Macaca fascicularis: one gene and its partners. The protein of the gene in region 3 interacts with the protein of the main gene of each other region in a biochemical or structural test. Links are inferred from orthologs where the notes say so. Each region holds a gene or a part of one and is shown on either strand. Other genes may lie near its edges.

Region 1 (7,868 bases), on a different chromosome or scaffold from region 3:
CTGCACTCTGGCCTGGGTGACAGAGTGAGACCCTGTCTTAAGAAAACAAACAAAAAACAAACAAGAAAACTCTGAATATGGGAGTAGAAGGGAATTTTCTTAACTTGATAAAAACTATCTAACAATACCAAGAGCAAACATTATACTTAATGGGGCAAGGCAAGTATGACATTACTAGAATTGTTCAACATAGTACCAGGGATCTTGACTAAACAAGGCAGGCAACAGAAAAAATTAAAATAGTAAGAACTGAAAGTGACAAATTTCTCCTTATTTACAGATGATACAATCAGTAACAGAGGAAAAACTCAGAAGACTTATTAGGATTAATTTAAAAAGAAGTTCTTCAAAAGTGCTGGAAACAATTTCAACCAGAATATATCACCTATACCAGTAAGAACCGTAATGTATTTAAGAAGTGATCTAAGGAAGCATGTATACATTGTCATTTAAAGAACTGTAACGAAAGCCCTCAAAATTTTTCATTTTCTGTACTCCTAAAAGTATTCTAATATTCTTTTCAAAAAACTAGTATTTAGTTTTGTCAATGATTGCTGTTACTTGATAGGTATTTTATGGGATTTTTTTTCTATTCATGGATGGAACTAGTTAATACTTTACAATAGTTTATACTGTAATAGTAAACTAGTAATATTCATTTACTAACATTAGTAATACTAAACTAGTAATAAATTTATAATTGCTAATATTGTAAAGATGTCAATTCAAAGCAATTATAATGAAAATCCCAAAATCATTTCTAGGAGAACTTGACAAAAGGACTTTCAAATTCAAAAGCCCAGGCACAGTGGCTCGTGTCTATAATCCCAGCACTTTGGGAGACCGAGGCGGGCAGATCACTTGAGGTCAGGAGTTCGAGACCAGCCTGGCTGACATGGTAAAACCGTGTCTCCACCAAAAACACAAAATTAGTCAGGCATAGTGGTGAGGGCCTGTAGTCTCAGCTACTCTGGAGGCTGAGGCAGGAAGAATTGCTGGAAACCGGCAGGTGGAGGTTGCAGTTAGCCAAGATTATGCCACTGCACTCCAGCCTGGGTGACAGAGTGAGACCCTGTCTAGGGAAAAAAAAAAAATTCATATGGAGGAATAAAGGTCCACAAATAGTTAAGAAAAAGAAGAGTTAAACAATCACCTTATTTGAAAGTTAGGCCGGGCGCGGTGGCTCAAGCCTGTAATCCCAGCACTTTGGGAGGCCGAGGCGGGCGGATCACGAGGTCAGGAGATCGAGACCATCCTGGCTGACACGGTGAAACCCCGTCTCTACTAAAAAATACAAAAAAACTAGCCGGGCGAGGTGGCGGCGCCTGTAGTCCCAGCTGCTCGGGAGGCTGAGGCAGGAGAATGGCGTGAACCCGGGAGGCGGAGCTTGCAGTGAGCTGAGATCCGGCCACTGCACTCCAGCCTGGGCGGCAGAGCAAGACTCCGTCTCAAAAAAAAAAAAAAAAAAAAAAAAAAAAAAAGAAAGTTAGATGTATTACAAAGCCATGGTAATGAAACAGTGCGGCATAGCTGCAAACAAATAATACAGTGAAATGGAACAGAACTCCCCAAAACAGCCTTATGTAAACTTGTTATATAACAGAGGTGGCATTTTACACCAGTAGAGGAAAGGAAGGATTAACAGACCATGTTGGGAAAACAGTTTCTCTACAAGGAGAAAAAGTTATTATAGATCCCTACTGTATGTCATACAAACTCCAAATGGATAAAATATCTAAATATGGTAAGCATAGAATAAGGAAAATTAGATAAATGCTATCTTTAAAAAGCACACAGTAGGTGAACTGATAGGACATACATTAAATACACTAGCATGGACACCAACTGGCAGGGGAAGGAATGGTAATGGTAATAGTGGGTGAAGAAGGAAAAATAATAAAGCAAAATAAGGGCCTTGCTAGTGGCAATGATGACAGAAAGCCATGGACTAAGGAGTTACTATACTTCCGTTCACCTAAGGTCAACAAAATACAGATAGGTGTCAATCCTCAGAACTGAAGGATATCTAAGGAATATAAGAATTGTGTAAATTATGCCATAAACAGAGATTTCGATGTTTTTTTTCTAAACTCTGTCCATATTTAATAGTGACAGAAGCCTTATCTTTAAAACATTCCATGTCTCCACTTTTACACTTTCCCTTTCTTTATTCCTTTGTGCTGAACTCTGGAAACACCTCAGCTCTATTTTCCTTACTACAAAAGAAAAGGTAGCTTTCTCCTTCTTCCCCAGAAGGGAATGAGCTAGTGGCCTATAATTAATAGCACACTCTGGACCAACTCAACAGTATCAACTGGCTAAATTTGAGGGAGATTTTCCAATTTAAATACTAAAACTCATCATCTCACATCCAGGCTACTATTTACCATAACATTTATTTCCCATTACATTACTTCTGAAATAGAGAGTAACTTGGATTAATTTAACATAAATGCATCCATATTTGATTTCATAGTATTATGGGGGAAGGTGGGAAAGCTGAAAGTACACAGACATACCAGTTCTTTTATTCGTTTTCTGTGTCTACTATGTGGGTTGTTCAAATGACTGGTAAGATCAAATATTGTTGGTATTGCATTATCTCGAAGAACTGTCCTATAAGGACTCTGAAAAAGAAAAATGTGTTAATTCAGATATGATCCTTATAAATATATTACATATCAATAAAATTCTATGTTAATGACCTCCACAATATTCCTTCAACTCCAGCTCTAAAGTATAGAGGCTTATAGAACTTGATGTCAGTTCAGGTCAGTCTACTATTTCCAACTGTACCTGCATTTGCCCTTCTGGCAATCTTATTATAAATTAAGAAACTGAATTGAAGGTAGGCATAAAACATAAAATGTGCTTGCATTTTGCGTATCTGTTTCTAATTCAGCATCCCAGCTACTTTATCTTCCTGTCCTTCCAAGAGCCCACAATCTACAGGAGGTACAAGTCTCCCAAAATAATCTGCACTCTTGTATGTTCCATAATAATGCATCCCTATTTTACCTAATGTTCCACTTTTGCTAATATTACTGAGAAGTATCAAGGTACAGTGAAAATATTGGACTGGGACCCAGGAGACCTAGGAACTAGTCCAAACTCTACCAGTGAATGACTCACTAAGACACCTTGGCTAAATTACTTTCCCTTTTTGGGCCCCAGTTTCTTTTTCTGAATAAAATTCTGGTATGGAACTATTTCAACATTTCCCAAAATGAAATTATTCACATACTTAACGATCATAATGCTTGCCATTTCAGTTATATTACCATCTGTATTTTTACACAATCTACTCACACTGTCTTAAGTAATAAAAACTGTAGGCAGAATGATCTGATGTTTTTATCTTACGTTTTTAAAAATTTTATGTTTTTAACACATACTACAAAACTTCTAAAATAAAAATTGATTCATGTGCCACATGAAACCAACTCTCACACCACAAGTGATACTGATATACATAATCACATTTTTGCAAATGATAATCTAGGTATTTCTATATTTCTTTCAAGTCCTAATGATCTTATGAAAGAATGATCATACTTTACCCTACTTCCTGTTAATTTCATCCAACTTGGCTAGAAGCTGGATATATACTTAGATGGTAACAGCCCTACTGCCAGCCCTGAGGAGGCTGGGTAAGAGACAAGAAGCTTATTAAGAGGGAGAGTAATAAATAACTGCTATTACACTCCTCTCAGACAGTCCAAAGAAATAGTGCCTTTAATTTCTTCCTCAATTTGCAATGATAAAGATAAAACATACTTCATTTAAACAAGCTTTCTTGGAAGCAGTGATTATTTCAAAATATCTAAGCATGTTCAAAGAACATGCCAAACAAAAATAACAACTTCTAAATTTGTTCACCCAAAGGAGGGAGGTCAGGAAGACATGAAGGGAAAACATGTATCTAAATGGAACACACTATCTTGGGTTGTACCCAAAGAGTTGTTAAACACATTTGGGATGAATTTCTATTCAGAGTCAATATTTTCTAGTTCAATTCCATGCCATAACAGAAAGCACAAAGATGATTCTCTGACTTCCTAGTAACCCTCAACTTCTAGTTCTGGGCTCGTGATCCTGAATCTACCAGGGAGGCTGAATGAGGAATTGGTTAGGGACACAATCACTGAAGGGGGTACAAGTTATTATACTCAAAGCTCCCCCATCTTTCACACTGAGCAAATGTCCCCAAAATAAGCAAATACAAATACACAATCAACTTTCGATATCTTACCAATTATTAAATAAGGAGGGGAGGAAAAAAACATTTTAACAAATTTTTAAGTCAAATCAAATGATTTTCTATTTGCAAATAAAGCAATGACATTATAGATCGGAAAACAGAATATGTGAAAGAAAAAAATGACATTTTATAAATATTTATTTTGGCCAAGAATGTTGGCTCACACCTGTAATTCCAACACTTTGGGAAGCCATGGCCTGGTAGACAGCTTGACCCCAGGAGTTCAAGACCAGCTTAGGTAACATGGCAAAACTCCATCTCTACAAAAAATACAAAAATTAGCCAGGTATGGTGGCACATGCCTGTAGTCCCAGCTGCTTGGGAGGCTGAACGGGAAGGATTGCTTGAGCCTGGGAGGTCGAGGCTGTAGTGAGCCATGATTGCACCACTGCACCCCAGCTTAGGCAACAGAGCGAGACCCTGTCTCAAAAAATAATAATAAAAATAAGAAAAATATAAATATTTACAAGGACACATGCCAAAGAAGACAATATTCAATTACTGCTTATGATATCAAGTATCGCAGTATCAAGATTTAATTTTTAACTGCTGAATTAAGGTTTGAGCATGAAACAATAATCTTACTCTAGCATCAAAATAATAAAATATTTGGCTCAGGCCAAATTCAGTAGTCATGAATGTTTACTGATGAGATTTTTTTTTTTTTGTCTGTTTGTTTAAAGACAGGGTCTCATCATCATGTTGCCCAGGCTGGCTCTGAACTCCTAGGCTCAAGCAATCCTTCAGCCTTAGACTCCTAAGTAGCTGGGACTACAGACACGTGCCACTGTGCCTTGCCACTGATGAGATCTTCAATGTCAAACTAATAAAGCCAAAACTCTTAAACATTTAGATATGGATATCAGAAAATCCAGGGGTTTTTGTTTGCTTGTTCGTTTTTGAAACACAGTCTCACTCTGTCACCAAGACTGAAATACGGTGGCACAATCTTGGCTCACTGCAACCTCAGCCTCCTGGGTTCAAGCGATTCTTCTATTTCAGCCTCCTGAGCAGCTGTGATTACAGGCGTGCACCACCATGCCCAGCAAATTTTTCTTTTTTTTTTTGTATTTTTAGTAGAGAAGGGGTTTCCCCCTGTTGGCCAGGCTGGTCTCGAACTCCTGACCGCAAATGATCCGCCCACCTCAGCCTCCCAAAGTGCTGGGATTACAGGCGTGAGCTACCATACCCAGCCCAGAAATCCAGTTTTTAATAACATCTCCTAGATGTATAGAAAGAACATTTTCTCACATTCGGATTCATTTATTCAGGATTGAAGAATCATTTAGAAATTAAAAAAGCAAACCTGGCTCATCTTTCTGTTCTATTCTCTAAAGAATGTAAGAATGAACTATGCTTTAAATTTCTCACAATCTGGTTAGAATTATCTAATTAAGAGACCATATTTATTACTAAAATAAAAATGCAAAAATGCATATGGCAAATGTATTTAAAATAATTTGGGATATTTTTACTTAATGTCAAGAACATAAAAGTAGTTTGCCTTTTAAACATATGAAACCTTTTATTTCGGTTGATCATTATTACCCTCTTAACAAATTAAGGCAAAAATATTCCTCAAATATTTGTGATTAAACTGTTGAACCGGAACTGGCTCACCTCCCAATGACTTCACAAGTATCTGCTTCAATTAATTTTGAGAAATAAAATAACCCAATCATTCTTTAGTTTTCTGATGCCTCTGCAAAATGTATCTGAAAAAAATATCAAAATAAATTGCTGCATAACAACATATAGTGTACCTTCGAATCAAGTTTATGTCTATCCCAATATCTGAGGTGTTACATTAGTTACACTGAAACAATTCTGCTTCATTTCAATCAAATTTGCCTTATTTGTGCCTTTCATAAATCACAGCAAGAGAATCACAGAGGGTTAAAAATCTTAGAACTCAGGAATTACCTGGTCTAATCTCCTTATTAGGAACTGGGGCCCAGAGAGGGGAAGTGACTTGGCCAAGCTCACACAATTAACTGGTCTTGATATGAAATTACATACTATTGATGGAAATGTTTTTCCACATTACCTGGATAATTTGTTTACTATTACATCTAGCACATAAAAATTAAGAGTTGGTTCTAATAGTACATACAAAAACATGAAAACAAGAGCTCCATTCCAAGATGAAAATTTTACTCATAAAAAAGCTCTAAACAGCTCGAAATAAAAACACCAACTTTACCTTAAATATATACTTTTATAATCATCTAAAATTTTTCTGAAAACTAAATAATATTTAAAAGTGGTTACCTCAGCCGGGTGTGGTGGCTCATACATGTAATCCCAGCACTTTGGGAGGCCGAGGTGGGCGGGTCACTTGAGGTCAGGAGTTTGAGACTAGCCTGGCCAACATGGTGAAACCCCATCTCTACTAAAAATACAAAAATTAGCTGGGTGTGGTGGCACGTGCCTGTAATCCCAGCTACTTGAGAGGCTGAGGAGAGAAAATCGCTTGAGCCCAGGAGGTGGGGGAGGTGGCAGAGGTTGCAGTGAGCTGAGAGAGCACCACTGCACTCCAGCCTGGGTGACAAAGCGAGACTGTCTTTAAAAAAAAAAAGTAGTTACCTCGGGTGAATAGAAACGGGGCATCAGACACAGAGGAGTTTTTCTTTCTTTCTTTTTTTCTTTTTTCATCATTTTGGGTTTTTTTCCAGACAAGCTCTCATTCTGTTACCCAGAGTGGAGTGGAGTGGCATGAACACAACTCACTGCAGCCCTGACTTCCTAAGCTCAAGTGATCCTCCCATCTCAGCTTCCCAAGTAGCTGGGACTACAGGCATACGTCACCACACCTGGCTAGTTTTTTTGGTATTTTCTGTAGATATGGCGTCTGGCCATGTTGCCCAGGCTGGTCTCAAAACTCTTGAGCTCAAGTGGTCTTCCTGCCTCGGCCTCCCAAAGTGCTGGGATTATAGGTGACTGGCAAAATCAGATTTTAAGAACAAAACAGATACTATTCAGCTCCAAATCTGTCTTCATCTTAAAGTGGCAGGATATAGGAATACTTTCCAACATTGGCAAATACTTACATTTCCAACCAGACAGAGTGACAGAGAGAGAAATCAAGACAAACAGAGAGACACCAAGCTCTTCTATTACTCACAGTTCTACAGATCATAGAGGTCTCAAAATGTTTGGCACATAATCGATAATGTTTATTTAGCTGATCAGGTGTTTTATCTTCTAAGTCTGCTCTCCTACAGTTCTCCACCCACTTCTGGCATCTATAAATAAAACCAAAACACAATTATGAAAATGAGCTCAGCATTTAAATTTCAGCCTGCAGTTTTAAGGCAAACATATATTAATAACAACGGATTCCTGCTCCCCTCCCTGAGAACATAATTTGGAGAATTTTATTAATAACAAAATAACAGTTGGAAAAAACCTTAGAAATCATTTAGTAACAACACTTCAATTACAGACAAGGTTAAGAAGTAACTTGCTTGGAGGCAAGTACAAAATCAGCAGCAGAATTAGAACTGAAACCGGCATCTTCCAACTCCAGACATCAGAGAAGATCCAACCATCAGTAGAACAAGCAGAAAGCTGCATAGCCACAAGGCTAACAGCCTAACATTCCCTT
Region 2 (7,868 bases), on a different chromosome or scaffold from region 3:
AAGCCCTGTATAAACACTTAGTATTGTAAGACTTAACTTTTTGCCAATCTAATGAGTTTAAAATAGTATCTAATTGTTTTGATTTACATTTTCCTGATACCTAGTAAAGCAGCTTTTAATATTTGTTGCCCATTTGGGTATCTCTTCTCTGAACTATCTGTTTATATACTTTGTACATTTTTCTACTGAGTTGCTTGCCATTTTCTTATCGATTTTGTAGTTCTTTATAACAGAATACTCTTGTAACACTAATCGTCAAAAGCATAGATTTTGCTCTAAGTTCAACATTGCCTGCTTATGTGCACCAAAAAGTTATCTGTTTTTTGTTTGTTTTTGTTTGTTTGCTTGTTTGTTTTTGAGATGGGGTCTCACTATGTTGCCTAGGCTGATCTCGAACTCCTGGGCTACAGCGATACTCCCACCTTGGCCTCCCAAGTGCTGCAGACTATATGCGTGTGCCACTGCACCAGGCTAAAAAGTTATCTGATTTCAGTTTACTTTTAATGTTAAATTTAATTCTAATTTTTTAAAACAGAAATAAACTATATTAGAGAATCTTTAAATATTATCCCATTGGTAGGAGAGAAAAGCAAAATCATAGGAATATATTAAAATATAGGGGTGAGTGAGGAAAGACAGAAGTGACGTGTAGAAGGGTGAGGAATGGAACTTAATTTTAAAAAGAATCAAAACGCTGCTGAGCCGGGCACGGTGGCTCACACCTGTAATCCCAGCCTTGGGGAGGCTGAGGCAGGCAGAACACGAGGTCAGGAGCTCGAGACCAGCCTGACCAACATGTTGAAACCCCGTCTCTACAAAAATTAGCCGGGTGTGGTGCATGCGCATGTAATCCCAGCTACTCAGGGGGCTGAGGCAGGAGAATCGCTTGAACTGGAAGGCGGAGGTGGCAATGGGCCAAGATCTCGCCACTGCACTCCAGCCTGAGTGACAGAGGGAGACTCAACCTCAAAAAAAAAAAAAAAAAGGCTGCTGAATATTATCATTTAGTAAGAGTGCATAAGAAAAAATATAAAAATTATGGTGGAATACTAGAAGTTATTTTTAAATGAGGAAACGCACAGAAAAATAAGATTAAGTAGGAAGCTTCAAGACTAATATGATACCGTAAACAATGAAGAAATGTGTAAACTGCCACTTTTAGAATTTATCTCTGATGTATCTGCTGAGACGTCACTTTCAGCTGATGATTCAGAAGCACTAGAAGAAAAGGGTGTAACTATTAGTTTATTAATTCTGTTTTTATCACTTCTTTCTCTAAATTCTCCTTAAACATAAACATTTCTCTTTCAGACAGAAATATGAATATGTTAAATATCTCAACTGTTTGTCTACACTTACAGTGAGTTGTTCACTAAAGGGTTGCTTTGGGAGTCACACGTAGCAGCAAAAGAACCAGAGGACATGGAGTCAGGTTTCTGAAAGAAAGAGAGTCCCTTAGTAGGCTTAAATGCAACTAATTATTTCTCTACAGAGGCTCAGTTTCTGTGTACTATCACATTTATTTCAACACATTTACCAAATCCACAACCATAAACAATTACAAGATCAATAACGTTTTTTATGGATGTTTGGTCTGGATTTTATTTTATTTTATTTTTTATTTCATTTTTCTGGATCACAGGACAGATAATTTTTTTGTTTGTTTCTTTTGAGACAGGATCTGGCTCTGCTGTCCAGGTTGAAGTGCAGTGGCACGATCTTAGCTCACTGCAACCTCCACCTCCCAGGCTCAGGCAATCCTCCCACCTCAGCCTCCCAAGTAGCTAGAACTACAGGTACATGCCACACACGCATCTAATTTTTTTTTTTTTTTTTTTTGTAGAGTCATGGTTTTGCCATGTCGCCCAAGCCAAGCTGGTCTGAAACTCCTGCGCTCAGGAGATCCACCTGCGCTGGCCTCCCACAGTGCTGGGATTACAGGTGTGAGCCACCACACCCAGCCACGGCCCCATGGCACATGGCTCATTGGTGCGACACAGAATGGAGGAATCATTTTGCTAAATCACTGGCTGTCTTGGCATAATGTAACCACAGTCTAACCTGAAGTCAACTTCAGAGGGAATTTTAAAACATAAAAATTTAATCCAAAGGCAATACGTACCACTGAGGTTTCTTCTGATATCTCAAGCAATGCAAGTTTAGCGGCCAACTGTTTTGCTTCCTGTTTACTAGAACCTGTACCAATACCATATTCTTTGTCTCCAATTTTGCATTTATAATGAAATCTAGGAGAAATCATAGAGGGTACTTATCCAAACATGAAAAATATAGTAAATCCAACTTACGATTAAAAAAAAAAAACATTAACAGAGATCTTAAGATAATACCAATTTATTAGATAGATTTATAGTTCATATCTTGCATAATTTAAACCCTCAGTAACCTGCCTGACCAATTTCTCTGAATAACCAGGATCAGTTGACATCTGAGCTTGCGTTTTCCAGGCAATTTCTAATTTTTGGTTGCTTTGCTGAAAGATATGGCACAAAGGCACTAAGTGGTGATTTTTTTTGTTTTTTAATTCCCCAAAGGTCAAAAGATATGGAGGTAGAAAAGAAAGAGGTCCAGTGAATTTTTTCAGCAGTGCTCAAATGGGAAGGAAAAAGCCAGCAGAGAAAGTGGATTTGACAGGAGAAGCTATGAAGTTACAGCGTAGGGCAAGAGCAAAGCATGGATTCTGCTCTAACTTCAACATTGTCTGCCATCTGCTTATGTGCACAAAAATTTGAGAAAATCCCCACAGTGTAGATTCCCTATACTAAAGTCCACACTCTCCTATTAGACGTAAGGACATTTGTGGTTAGGCCAGGATACCTGGACAATTATATAAGAACTATTTTTAAGGGATAAAACAATGGACATGGTAATTTATATCACAGAGTTACTACATATTACTGCAAAATGATTCCAGTATTTGAACTCCTTTTCCTTTGTGCTTCTATTGAAGGCCATTGATAGAAACACATCCAAACAGGGTGAGTCTTCCCTGCTAGACCCTGAATTAAATAGCTGGGTTGAGTAACTGGATCATTTCTATAGCTCCTATTTTTTTCAGACACTGTCCCCCCGCAAATAGATTTCTTCTTTCTTTTAGGTATCTAACGTTAGAGAGCATAATTCAAAGAAATCAAAAAAGTGAGCTACAGAAAATAAAATAGTCTCTTAATTATCAAGATTGACTCAACAGATTCACTTTTGACTATTTCATTCCAATGAATACTATCACATGTTTTTCTTCCTGGTTTTGGCCCAAAAGCCATGACTGTGAATAGCTGAGTCAATTCATAGAACAGTATCCTAAAGTGATGATTTGAACTATTTGCCATGTAGATATTTTTTTTTCTTCTTTCTCATTAACTGGTTGGTTGTAGTTGAAAAACAATCGCCTCATACTCCTTTGATTTCTGCTTTTTTCAGTTCCAATCCATTCTTTATCCTCATTTCCAGGAACATCTTAGCTCAGTGGTGACGTTCTTAGTAACTTTGAAACTCTAGCTTATCTGTCTCATCAGATCCCTCAAATCCTGGTCTCCTCTCAGTCTACGGCTAAAACTCATTCCTTCTGATACATGGTATTTGTTCATTTAATCCAATTTGAAGGACAAATACCTGAACAAAGAGCTCCCTGATCTGACAAGGGTGAAGAGTCATTCTATACATGTGGCAGAGAGGTTTTCAGATAGTTACCACCATCATGTCCTCAATGACGAAAAGATCTCTGCATTCTTTGAGCAGTGGCACCCTGTACCCTCTTGTTCCACAGACTAAACCATCCAGCTACACCTCTGAAATAAAGGATTACCCTAATTTGATCAATTACGGTAAGTGGGCTCCATGGCTTCAGCAATTAAACATTTTAATTACAAATTAGAAATCAAATTACTATCAATCATATAAAACCTGCCATATAGAATGTTTAAAAGGACACATATTTCTGGAAAATTAGACATGAAAATAAACCAACTTTATTGCTTAGATACAATGAAACAGAAAGAAAAGCCAAATTATGTCTTACCCTTCTGGCCCATGCACCCCCGATGTACATTGTTCATAATTTACAGTTAGTCTTTTCTTCTGGGCAATTCTATTGACAACGCCTATGTAATTCCCAATGGATAATCCTTCCGAAGAACTGGTTGTTGTCAATGAAAAAGGACTAACTGCCTACAAAGAAAAAAAAAATTCTTGTTTAATATAAATGACAACAAAGATTTAACCTTTTAAAAATCATTCTTCTAATAAAATTACTAAATGAGCAATGTGAAAGACAGGTTGGATGTTATATATTTTTCTATTATATTACCTTGAGTAAAAGTGTGACTATCTATCTCCCTCTACCAGAAAAAATCTACAAAGATAGATTTTAACAATAGGAAAGAAGTTGCTTTTTCTTGTTTGTCTTTGGAAAGTACTATAACACGTTCTAGCTTGTTATATTCTTTCTAATCTCAAAAAATGAGGCAAGAGATACTGGATCACAACTTAATGAAAAAGATGAATATAATAGCGTGATTTCTACTATTGTTATCTCTACCTTTTTTTCTTAGTCCAACAAAAATCTTGTCCAAAGTTTTGCTATTTTTTTTTTTAATTTTTTTGAGTCAGGGTATCACTTTGTTACCTAGGCTAGAGTGCAGTGGTGCAACCTCAGCTCACTGCAGCCTTGACCTCCTGGTTTCAAGCGATCTTCCTGTCTCAGTCTCACAAGTACCTGGAACTACAAGTACACACCACCACATCTGGGTACTTTTTTTGTATTTTTTGTAGAGACAGGGTTTGGCCATGTTGCCCAGTCTGGTCTCGAACTCCTAAACTCAAGTTATCTGCCTGCCTCAGACTTCCAAAATGCTAGGATTAGAGGTGTGAGCCACCACACCCAGCTGAGTTTTGCTATTTTATTAATCTTGTCAAAAAACTAGCTTTTGGTTTTATTGATCTTTATTTTTTTTCTTTTTTATTTCTTTTATAGTAATTTCAACCATTGTTATTTTCTTTCTTCTGCTTTTTGGGGGTAAGACATTCTATTTTTTTCTAACTTCTTGACTCAATTTTCTACCTCATTAATAATTATAATTTGTAATTTTGCTTGATTTTTTTTTTAATTTGGTTAGAAGGATATCTTTAAGTAGATTTTTCAAGAAAGAATCTTGAAACCTAAATTTTCCCAAAATTTTCCAAATCTGAGAATAGTCCTCTGTTGTCTAAAATGTAAATGACTTCATGTCTCATTTTATAAGCATTGCTACACTATCTCCTGGTTTATAATGTTGCTGTGCACAGCATGAAACTTTAAAAATATTTACATTTCACATAGTTTTCTTCTTCTCTCTAGATGCTTGTAGAATTCTTTCCTCATCTCTGGAGCGCAGTACTTTCATAAGAATCAGTGTTGGGGCCAGGCGCGGTGGCTCATGCCTGTAATCCCAGCACTTTGGGAGGCCGAGGCAGGTGGATCACGAGGTCAGGAGTTCAAGACCAGCATGGCCAACATAGTGAAACCCTGTCTCTACTAAAAATACCAGAAAATTAGCTGGCCATGGTGGTGGAGGCCTGTAATCTCAGCTACTCAGGAGGCTGAGGCAGAGAATTGCTTGAACACGGGAGGCGGAGGTTGCAGTGAGCAGAGATTGTGCCACTGCACTCCAGCCTGGGCAACAGAGCGAGACTCTGTCTCAAAAATAAAAAATAAAAGAGAAAAAAAGAATCAATGTTGGTCTGGGTGTTTCTAAATTTTCCTGTATCTATTAAGTTGTTTTAATCTGTAGCCAAGTCTTTATTTCATAAACATTTTCTGCTGAAATCTCTTCAGATCATTTTCTTCTGTACTATTTACTCTGTTCTTATTTTCAGGGACACCAGTCACATGTATATTGGTTCTCCATTATCTGCTCTCTGTAAACACTTGGCTCTCTATATCCACGGGTTCCAAATCCCTGGATTCACCAATCACAATCAAAAATATTTGAAAAAAATTGCTGGTTGCATCTGTACTAAACATATTCAGTTTTTTTCCTTGTCATTATTCCCTAAACAATACAGCATAACAACTACTTATAGCTGGCTGTGGTGGCTCACACCTGCGATCCTAGCACTTTGGGAGGCTGAGGTGGGCGGATCGCTTGAGCTCAGGAGTTCAAGACCAGCCTGGACAACATAGTGAGATTCCATCTCTACAAAAAATACAAAAATTGGCCAGGTGTGGTGGCTCGTGCCTGTAGTCCGAGTCAGTTGGGATGCTGAGGTGGGAGGATCACCTGAGCCTGGGGAGACTGAGGCTGCAGTGAGCCTTGATCATGCCACTGCACTCCAGCCTGGGTGATAGTAAGACCCTGTCTCAAAAAACAACAACAACAAAAAACTATTTACATAGCATTTACATTGTATTAGAGATATTATAAGTAATCTAGAGATGATCTAAAGGATAATCATGTACTGCATAATGACATTTTGGTCAACAATGGACTGCATATATGACAGTGGTCCCGTAAGATTATAATGGAGCTAAAAAATTACTGTCATCTAGTGAGGTCATAGCCACTATAATGGCTAATTTTTTGTATTTTTAGTACAGACAGGGTTTCGCCATATTGCCCAGGCCAATCTCAAACTCCTGGGTTACAGCACCATGCATTACTCACATGTTTGCAGTGACACTGCTCTAAACAAATCTACTGTGCTACAGTCTTATAAAAAAGTCTGGCACATACAATTATGTACAGTACATAATACTGGATAATAATAAGTAACTGTTACTGGTTTATATATTTATTATACTTTTTAATCATTATTTTAGAAGGCACTCTTTCTACTTAAAAAAAAAAAAAAAGTAAACTGTAAAACAGTCTCAGGCAGGTCCTTCGGTAGGTAATCCAAAAGAAGGAATTGCTACAATAGGAAAGAATAGCTCCATGTATGTTTTTGCTCCTGAACACTTTCCAGAGGGACAAAATGTGGAGGTGGAAGACAGTGACGCTGATGATCCTGATGCTGTGTAGGCAGGCTGGTGTGTGTGTGTGTGTTGTAATTTTTTTCTTTCTTTTTTTTTGAGACAGGGTCTTGCTCTGTTGCCCAGGCTGGAGTGTAGTCACAAGATCACAGCTCACTGCAGCCATGACATGTCAGGCACATGATCCTCCTGCCTCGGCTTCCTGAGTAGCTGGAACTACAGGCACGTGCCACCAAGCCTGGCTAGTGTTTTGTATTTTTAGTACAGAGAGGGTTTCACCATGTTGCCTAGGCTAATCCCAAACTCCCAAATTCAAGTGATCCACCTACCTTGACTACCAAAGTGCTGGGATTACAGGCATGAACCACCATGCCCAGCATTTTTTTTTTTTTTTTTTGAGACAGGGTCTCATTCTGTCACCCAGGCTGGAGTACAGTGGCATAATCATGGCTCCTCGACATCCCAGGCATGAAACACTGTGCCCAATCATGTTTTAATTTTTTAACAACAAAGTTTAAAAGTTAAAAAAAAAAAGAAGTTTAAAATTCTAAAAATAGAAAAAAGCTTATAGAATAAAGATGTAACAAAACAAAATATTTTTGTACAGCCATACTATGTGTTTTTGTTTTCGTTTTTGTTTTGTTTTGTTTTTTTGAGATGGAGTCTTGCCCTGTTGCCCAGGCTGGAATGCAGTGGCATGATCTCGGCTCACTGCAACCTCCGCCTCCTGAGTTCAAGCAATTCTCCTGCTTCAGCCTCCCAAGTAGCTGGGATTACAGGCGACCCCCACTACACCTGGCTAATTTTTGTATTTTTAGTAGAGACAGGGTTTCACCGTGTTGGCCAGGCTGGTCTCAAACTCCTGACCTCAGGTGATCTACCCGCCTCGGCTTCCCAAAGT
Region 3 (7,868 bases):
TTCTTTTTTATTTTTTTCTTGATATGAGGATTTACTTTTAAGGAGGTGACAGTTTACAGAAGATAATTTCTTTTTTTTTTTTTTTTTTTTTTTTTTTGAGGCGGAGTCTCGCTCTGTCGCCCAAGCTGGAGTGCAGTGGCGCGATCTCGGCTCACTGCAAGCTCCGCCTCCCGGGTTCCCGCCATTCTCCTGCCTCAGCCTCCCGAGTAGCTGGGACTACAGGCGCCGCCACCACGCCCGGCTAATTTTTTTGTATTTTTAGTGGAGACGGGGTTTCATTGTGTTAGCCAGGATGGTCTCAATCTCCTGACCTCGTGATCCGCCCGTCTCGGCCTCCCAAAGTGCTGGGATTACAGGCTTGAGCCACCGCGCCCGGCCGATAATTTCTTAAAACATTTTTTTGTTTAGAGACTTGGTCTCTCTCTCTGTTACCTAGAGTGGAGTGCAGTGGTACGATTATAGCTCACTGTAACCTCAACCTCCTGGGCTCAAGTGATCCTCCCACCTCAGCCTCCTGAGTAGCTGGGACCACCGGTGTGTTCCACTGCACCCAGTTAATAATTTTAAATTTTTTGTGGAGATGAGATCTTGCTATGCTGCCTAAGCTGGTCTGGAATTATAGGCATGAGCCACTGTGCCCAGCTAAGAATTTAATGTGGTTATTAGCAGAAAAAAGTAGTTTGCCAATTTAGAACCTAGATTTTATTTTTTGACTACAAATTAGAATTGTTGATTAAGTATAAAAATCTGATAACAGAATATTCTCTTCAAATATGCTTCACTAGGAACAACCCTCCAATAGTAAATGCTATGTTTTCTTATTTTCAGTGTCTTAGAATTATATAATCGAAGGAGGTAAGAAAAGGGCCTTGTTATTATATATATCCCTTCCCCCATTAGAATTCATTTACAACATTTTTGGAGAAACTATTTTGTCACATCAGTTTTGTCACATTTAAATTGTATCAGATTTTAAAATAATATTTGCAGTCTATAAGTCATCACATTAATTGAGAATGTTTTATGTTGATAAATACGTAGATAAAAAATACGTGGAATGCAACAATGAATGTGCATAATATTTTCTTCCTTAAAGTCTAGTTCTTTTGTTCCTCAAGGTTTGTGTTTGGGATGCAGAGCTACGGGAACTTCGAGCTGAATGTTTTATAAAAGAAGGAGAACCTAGGAAAGCTATAAGTGACTTAAAAGCTGCATCAAAGTTGAAGAATGATAATACTGAGGCGTTCTATAAAATAAGCACACTGTACTACCAGCTAGGAGACCACGAACTGTCCCTCAGGTCAGTCCTACTGACACACGTCTGATCTTCTTTAATTGTTGGCAGTAAGATAACCTCATCTTGTTTTAACATTTTAATATTAAATTAATAAGATGATGGTGGTTAAGGCTATTTTTATATTGTATATCCATTTATATGTTTTGTGTTATTCCCATGTTACTTTAATTCCACAGTTTGTTTTCATGAAGCTGCTTATTAAAATAAACAGGAAGGCTCTTATATTTCTAGAAACAAAATTGAATGTTTACTATATAATGCTAGTAAGTCATTTTAATTTGAATTAACAAATGTATGCATAGTACAATGCCATATATAAATGTGTATAGTAAATTATAAGTCTCAGTATGTTTTTGTTTAATTGTTGCAAACAAAAAATACTTTTACTGTGATTTCTGTATTTAGCGTGGAAAACTACTCATTGATTGTTTTGACATGGAGTATTTTCCTTTTTTTAAATACATGAACAGTGAAGTTCGGGAATGTCTTAAACTTGACCAGGACCATAAAAGGTGTTTTGCACACTATAAACAAGTAAAGAAACTTAATAAGCTGATTGAGTCAGCTGAAGAGCTCATCAGAGACGGCAGGTGAGAATACGGTTGTTCCAGCTGTCCAGCCATTCCTTATATGTTAGACTGTGGGCACAAGTGAATTACAGAACTGCTTTTACTTCTCAGCCATTGAGGGTGGGGTATTCTAGACAGCCCTGGGCCTTAGCAAAACTACCAGAACTGGACATTTTTGGAATAGGGAAGAATATAAACAATAGTAACTGTGTAGTATTCTTACCAGCAGACTTACTTGTATTATACCAAATATTTATTATCTCCTATATCAGGCACTGAGCTGTGTCCTGAGGGTGCAGAAACGAAGCTGATGGTAGTTTGTGTTCTTAACAAGTTTATAGCATTGCATGGGAGACACATATAGGAACAGATTATTAAAAGACAATATGATACCAAAGTGATAGAATGTACATAGGATAATTGGAGTACCGAAAAGGAGTATTTACTCCAAACCAGGATGGTGAAGGCAAGGAGTGAAAGAGAAGCTTTTTTTAGAGCAGACGATAGATATTTAAATCCTGATCCTAAAGAGAAAGTAAGAGTGGGCAGAAGTAAGAGGCTGTGTCGGTGTGAGTGTTATTTGTAGAGGGTTTGTAGGCTGGGCGGGAGGACTGAAAAGAGTACAGGGCACTGCAGACAAAACTGCCTAATAGAAAATAGGCTCTAATTCCTCTACTTTTAGTAGCTTTGTAAATTACCATCGTGAGAATGCTTTACCCAGTTTCCCCCAACATCTTGCAGACTATAACGCCTTGAAAAACCATAGTACCTTGTCACAATGAAGTTATTGATGTGGGTGCAGTCAAGATACAGAATAATTTCATCCCAACAAGGACCCCTCATGTTGCCCTTATAGCCACACCTACTTCCCTGTTGTTCCTATCCCTTCCTTAGCTAATCTAGTTACTTCTAGAATTTTGTCATTGTAAGAATGTTACATAAATAGAATCATACAATGTATAAACTTTTGGGATTGGCTTTTTTTTTTTTTTTTTTTTTTGAGACAATCTCACTATGTTGCACACCTGTTCACAGGTGCAGTCATAGGACATTGCAGCCTTGAACTGTTGGCCTTGAGTGATCCTTCTGCTTCAGCCTCCTGAGTAGCTGGGACTTCAGACACATGCTACCACAGCTGGCAGCATGGGCTTTTTCCCCCCTCATTCGAATTCTCTGGAGATTTATCCATATTGTATCAATAATTCCTCGTTTACTGTTGAATGGTTTCCATGGTGTGGATTTACTGCACTTTGTTTAACCATTTATCCATTGAAGGACCTGAGGTTGGGAGTTCGAGACCAGCCTGACCAACACAGAGAAACCCTGTCTCTACTGAAAATACAAAATTAGCTGGGCATGGTGGCACATGCCTGTAATCCCAGCTACTGCAGAGACTAAGGTGGGAGAATCACTTGAACCCAGGAAGCGGAGGTTGCGGTGAGCCGAGATTGCACCATTGCACTCCAGCCTGGGCAACGAGAGCGAAACTCCGTCTCAAAAAAAAAAAAAAAAGTTTTCTGTTTGCAAGTCTGCCCTTTTCAGGTCCTCTGGCTAGAGACAGCAGCCTTCTGCAGGTTTTTGTTACTGTCGTTCTGTACCTGTTGGCATTTCTGCATTGCTGGAATCTTCAGCTCCAAGTCTGGGATACATGAGATGAAAAAAGGAACCCAGGGAACTTCTTACCATGTTTTTCCTCAGGTCCTGAGTCACTAGCTAGTCTGTCTTCTCTCCTCCTTTGAAAGTTTTCTATTTTAAAAAATATACATTTAATTTCTAGGGTTTTTAGTTGTGCTTAGCTGGAGGAATTGGGAAAAATACATCTATTCCACTTTCCCAGAAGCTGGCTTTTTTGCTTTTTTCTTTTACTTTAAGTTCCAGGATGTATGTGCAGAACGTGGAGGTTTGTTACATAGGTAAACGTGTGCCAAGGTGGTTTGCTGCACCTATCAACCCATTACCTAGGTATTAAGCCCCGCATTCATTAGCTATTTGTCCTGATGCTCTCCCTCCCCTTGCTGCCTGCCCCACACAGGCCCCCGTGTGTGATGTTCCCTTCCCTGTGTCCATGTGTTCTCATTGTTCACCTCCCACTTATGAGTGAGAATATGCAGTGTTTGGTTTTCTGTTCCTGTGTTAGTTTGCTGAGGATGATAGAGAAGCTGGCTTTTATTTTAAATGTTTTAGTTAAGCCTGTGTTTTAATACATCAGCATATTTACATATGAAGATTGTAGCACATTGGGAGTAATGTGCCACCATGGCATAGAAACATATTTTTTAGTTTACTATTGTTGAGGAAAATAACTGAGTATCTATAACAGGATTAGTACTTTTTACTGGTTTGAAGAAAATGCTGAAATAGCTTTTATTCTTAGAAAGCTTATACAGTTGGGAATTTAATCAGGTACCTTCTGTATGAACTACATTGTACTTTGTTGTGAATACTGACATTAATTATATAAAATGGCACTTAATGGGTTCCGTTATTTTCATGGAAGTGTTTACTGACCAAGAAATAAAACTTGATCTCTGTATTGTTCAATGTGCTCAGTATAAGTCAGACTTCAACAGGGTATTTTACTCAGGTTCGGAATTCTGAGCTTGTTTCTGTAAGGAAATTCTTCTGGTTTGATTGGTACTTACAGGTATGCTTTGTTCTGTCCATCTGCATCTCCTATGGTCAGATGTTTTTATTTCTTAACTCTTAATTATGGAGTGTACCTTCTATGGGACTCAAGATTAATAAGGGAAAAGCCAAATCTGAAGCCGTGGCCTCATCCAGTTGGATTGATTAAGCAACACATGGTGAAGAGGGGAGGAGCCTTTCTACAGCTCTGGAAATCGAATGTCATTGTTTCTTATCATGATTTGCTCATTTCTTAGATACACAGATGCTACCAGCAAATATGAATCTGTCATGAAAACAGAGCCAAGCATTGCTGAGTATACAATTCGTTCAAAGGAGCGGATTTGCCATTGCTTTTCTAAGGTAACAGTTGACTTGTTCCCAGAAATGTGAAAACTCATCATGTGGAATACCAACCATAAATCCCTTTCTCACATTTCCTTTTAGGACGAGAAGCCTGTTGAAGCTATTAGGGTTTGTTCTGAAGTTTTACAGATGGAACCCGACAATGTGAATGCCCTGAAAGACCGAGCAGAGGCCTATTTGATAGAGGAAATGTATGATGAAGGTAAATCTTTAAGGAATTTGATTTGCAGTACCGAAGTGTTGATTAGGAAATTATCACATTTTAAGCTTCCTTTTCCTTAAAACAAGTTTACCGGAGTACCTGGAAATGGTGACGATTTAGAAAAATGGCAGAGAGCTTGAAAATTACTCTTCCATAGTGGAACCTGAAAGGTATACCATGGGAGGAAAGAGTTCTGCCATTGAAACCAGTTCAGTACAATAGAAAAATAAGTATTTTAGCTTTTTTTTGTAGAAAGTTAGGAAAAAAATAAAATAGAAAATTTAAATGTAGTTCTCATGTCATCCAGAGGTAATCACTGTTCATTTTGCATTTATCTTTTCCAGCTTATGTCTATGCACATACATTACTCTATATTTTATGCACATATACATATTCTCTCTCTCTATATATATATACACACACACACACTCGGTGTGTATGAAACATATATACAGAAAGCATACATATATGTCATATATCCCTAATATAAAATGATCCTCTGTGACCCCAAACTGTGTAGTAAAATAGGACAGTTGCTGCCCTGTTTTGTTCAAGCCGAATGAAGTAACAAGATTCCTGCTAGATGTTGTGAGGACCTTGGTTAAAAGCAGTGTCCTGTTTTTGGAAGAAAACTGTGGCGTATATAGTAATATATAGTTTTTGAAAAATAGAATCCATATATATATATGGAGATATATATATATATAGTTTTATACTTTTTTTCATGTGACACTAAGTTATGAACATTTAAATGAAACAGTTTTTAAAAAAATAGCGTTATAAGCCCTTATTGCAAATATTTTGTTTCAAATTCAGATAAAGCATTTTAAATCAAAAACTAATTTTCTCTTATAGTTAAATGAAGGGTTTGAATGGTAAAATTTGGTTTGTGATACTCTTTTTAAGGCAAAACTGGTCAATCTATTTTTCCCTGCTTTCCTCAATTAGAAAAGAATCTTGCTCCTAAGCAAGTTCCCGGTTTCCAGGGAATGATAACAACCTGGTCACTACTATTCCTGTGACATCTTGTGGGGGATTCAGACCTTGAGGTCTCTGAATGAGGCTTGAAATGAATGCAGTCAAAATGATGTTTTAATATTCATAAGCATGCTTCAATAAGGCAGGTAGTCCACATAGAAAATCCCTTTAGCACACTCGTTCTCTTTCCTTTTGAGCCACCGTGTCTACTCGCTGAGATGGTTTTACTCTAGGATTTTGCATTCCAGTTAGTTTTTGGAACTCTTTATCAAAGATACTTTTGTCATCTGTATGTAAACCCTTAGCTCTTACTGCGAAATTAGAGAAGCTACAGAAGAATATAAACAGCTTAGCTGTTAAAAAAAAAAAAAAAAGAAGGCTAAATCTTGTAGAATGCTAAATATAATTTGAAAGATGCTTTTGAAACTTGAATGTTAAACTGACTTGCTTTTTGGGGAAACCTGATGGCTTAATTCTGGAAGAAAAAGATGCTTAGTGCTAATTTGATATAATTGATCTGGTTTCTTTTTTTTTTTTTTTGGAAATGGAGTCTTGGTCTTTTACCCAGGCTGGAGTGCAATGGTGCAATCTTGGCTCACTGCAACCTCCGCCTCCTAATTGCAACCAGTTCTTCTGCCTTAGCCTCCCGAGTAGCTGGGATTACAGGTGTGCACCACCACGCCTGGCTAATTTTTGTACTTCCAGTAGTGATGGGGTTTCACCATATTGGCCAGGCTGTTCCCGAACTCCTGACCTCAAGTGATCTGCCTGCCTTGGCCTCCCAAAGTGCTCGGATCACTTGGCCCTGCCCAGTTGATCTGTCTTTGAAGCCTGTTGTTTCCTTGAAAAAATTCTTTTGTATAGGAATTTATTAAAGAGAGAGAGAGAATGGTTGCCAGCTCTCTAAATTTGCAAAAGAAAGAAAGGAAAAGAGCCTGTATAATTGAAACTGACAAGTATTACCTGACTCGTTTGGATTGGAATCAGGGGTTTAGTAAATGATGTAAATAAATAATAATCTTACTTAACTAAGCTAAATAACAGTATGTCTTCAGTTTACTTGAGTTAGAAATATGCTTTCCATATTCTTCTTCCTGGTTTTACCTTTTTTAAATAAGCAATTAAAAATGATGGCAGGTACATAATAAAGAATGAATAGGTTTAGGTTAGTGAATAATGGAACATGGACGTTTATTAATTTGGGGCTTAGAATTATCAGGAAACATATCGGGATATCACTCAATAGAAAGGAAGTAAAGTAAGACTGTTATTTGAGGATGCCTCTGAGATCTTGAAAAATCAAGGGAAATTCTTTATCTCTGCATGTCTCCGTTTTAATAGCTTTTGAGAGGAAGAAACTGACATTGAAGCAATACGAAAATATTGACAAATTCCTTTGAATATAGGGGTAACACAGGTGTCCTTAGGAAATGATCAGTTATATTTTGCTAGAACTTTAGCTGTGTGAGGGCAGAGACCTGTGGCTGTTATATTAACTGATGCATTCCTGGTGCTTATGCTGGCACTCATGTTTGCTGAATGAATGAAGGTAATTTATTTATTATACAATGAAGTCATAGTGGAGAGTAGGGAATTTAGAATTAGTCCTGCCTTTGAGTCTGGCTTTGTGCAGTTATTCTATTTTTTTTTTTTTTTTTTTTTTTTTTGAGATGGAGTCTCGCTCTGTAGCCCAGGTTGGAGTGCAGTACCGTGATCTCGGCTCACTGCAACTTCCGCCTTCCGGGTCCCAGTTCAAGCAATTCTCCTGCCTCAGCCTTCCGAGTAGCTGGGATTACAGGAACTGTGCCACCATGCCCAGATAATTTTTGTA

The links.
Region 1: the proteins of DNAJC3 (region 3) and THAP12 form a complex in vitro, tested with the Homo sapiens proteins (2 studies listed by BioGRID). The link is inferred for Macaca fascicularis from reciprocal best matches to the Homo sapiens genes DNAJC3 and THAP12.
Region 2: the proteins of DNAJC3 (region 3) and EIF2AK2 form a complex in vitro, tested with the Homo sapiens proteins (2 studies listed by BioGRID). The link is inferred for Macaca fascicularis from reciprocal best matches to the Homo sapiens genes DNAJC3 and EIF2AK2.

The regions. Positions count from the first base shown.
Region 1 is NC_088388.1:75,239,122-75,246,989, forward strand, and holds part of THAP12 (52 kDa repressor of the inhibitor of the protein kinase), read right to left. Parts: intron 7,507-7,868; coding exon 7,386-7,506; intron 5,977-7,385; exon of another isoform or gene 5,882-5,976; intron 2,628-5,881; coding exon 2,520-2,627; intron 1-2,519. UniProt on the Homo sapiens protein: Upstream regulator of interferon-induced serine/threonine protein kinase R (PKR). May block the PKR-inhibitory function of DNAJC3, resulting in restoration of kinase activity and suppression of cell growth.
Region 2 is NC_088387.1:85,035,935-85,043,802, reverse strand, and holds part of EIF2AK2 (interferon-induced, double-stranded RNA-activated protein kinase), read right to left. Parts: intron 4,186-7,868; coding exon 4,037-4,185; intron 2,247-4,036; coding exon 2,123-2,246; intron 1,437-2,122; coding exon 1,360-1,436; intron 1,219-1,359; coding exon 1,125-1,218; intron 1-1,124.
Region 3 is NC_088391.1:86,690,832-86,698,699, forward strand, and holds part of DNAJC3 (dnaJ homolog subfamily C member 3), read left to right. Parts: intron 1-1,118; coding exon 1,119-1,300; intron 1,301-1,767; coding exon 1,768-1,887; intron 1,888-4,748; coding exon 4,749-4,854; intron 4,855-4,938; coding exon 4,939-5,059; intron 5,060-7,868. UniProt on the Homo sapiens protein: Involved in the unfolded protein response (UPR) during endoplasmic reticulum (ER) stress.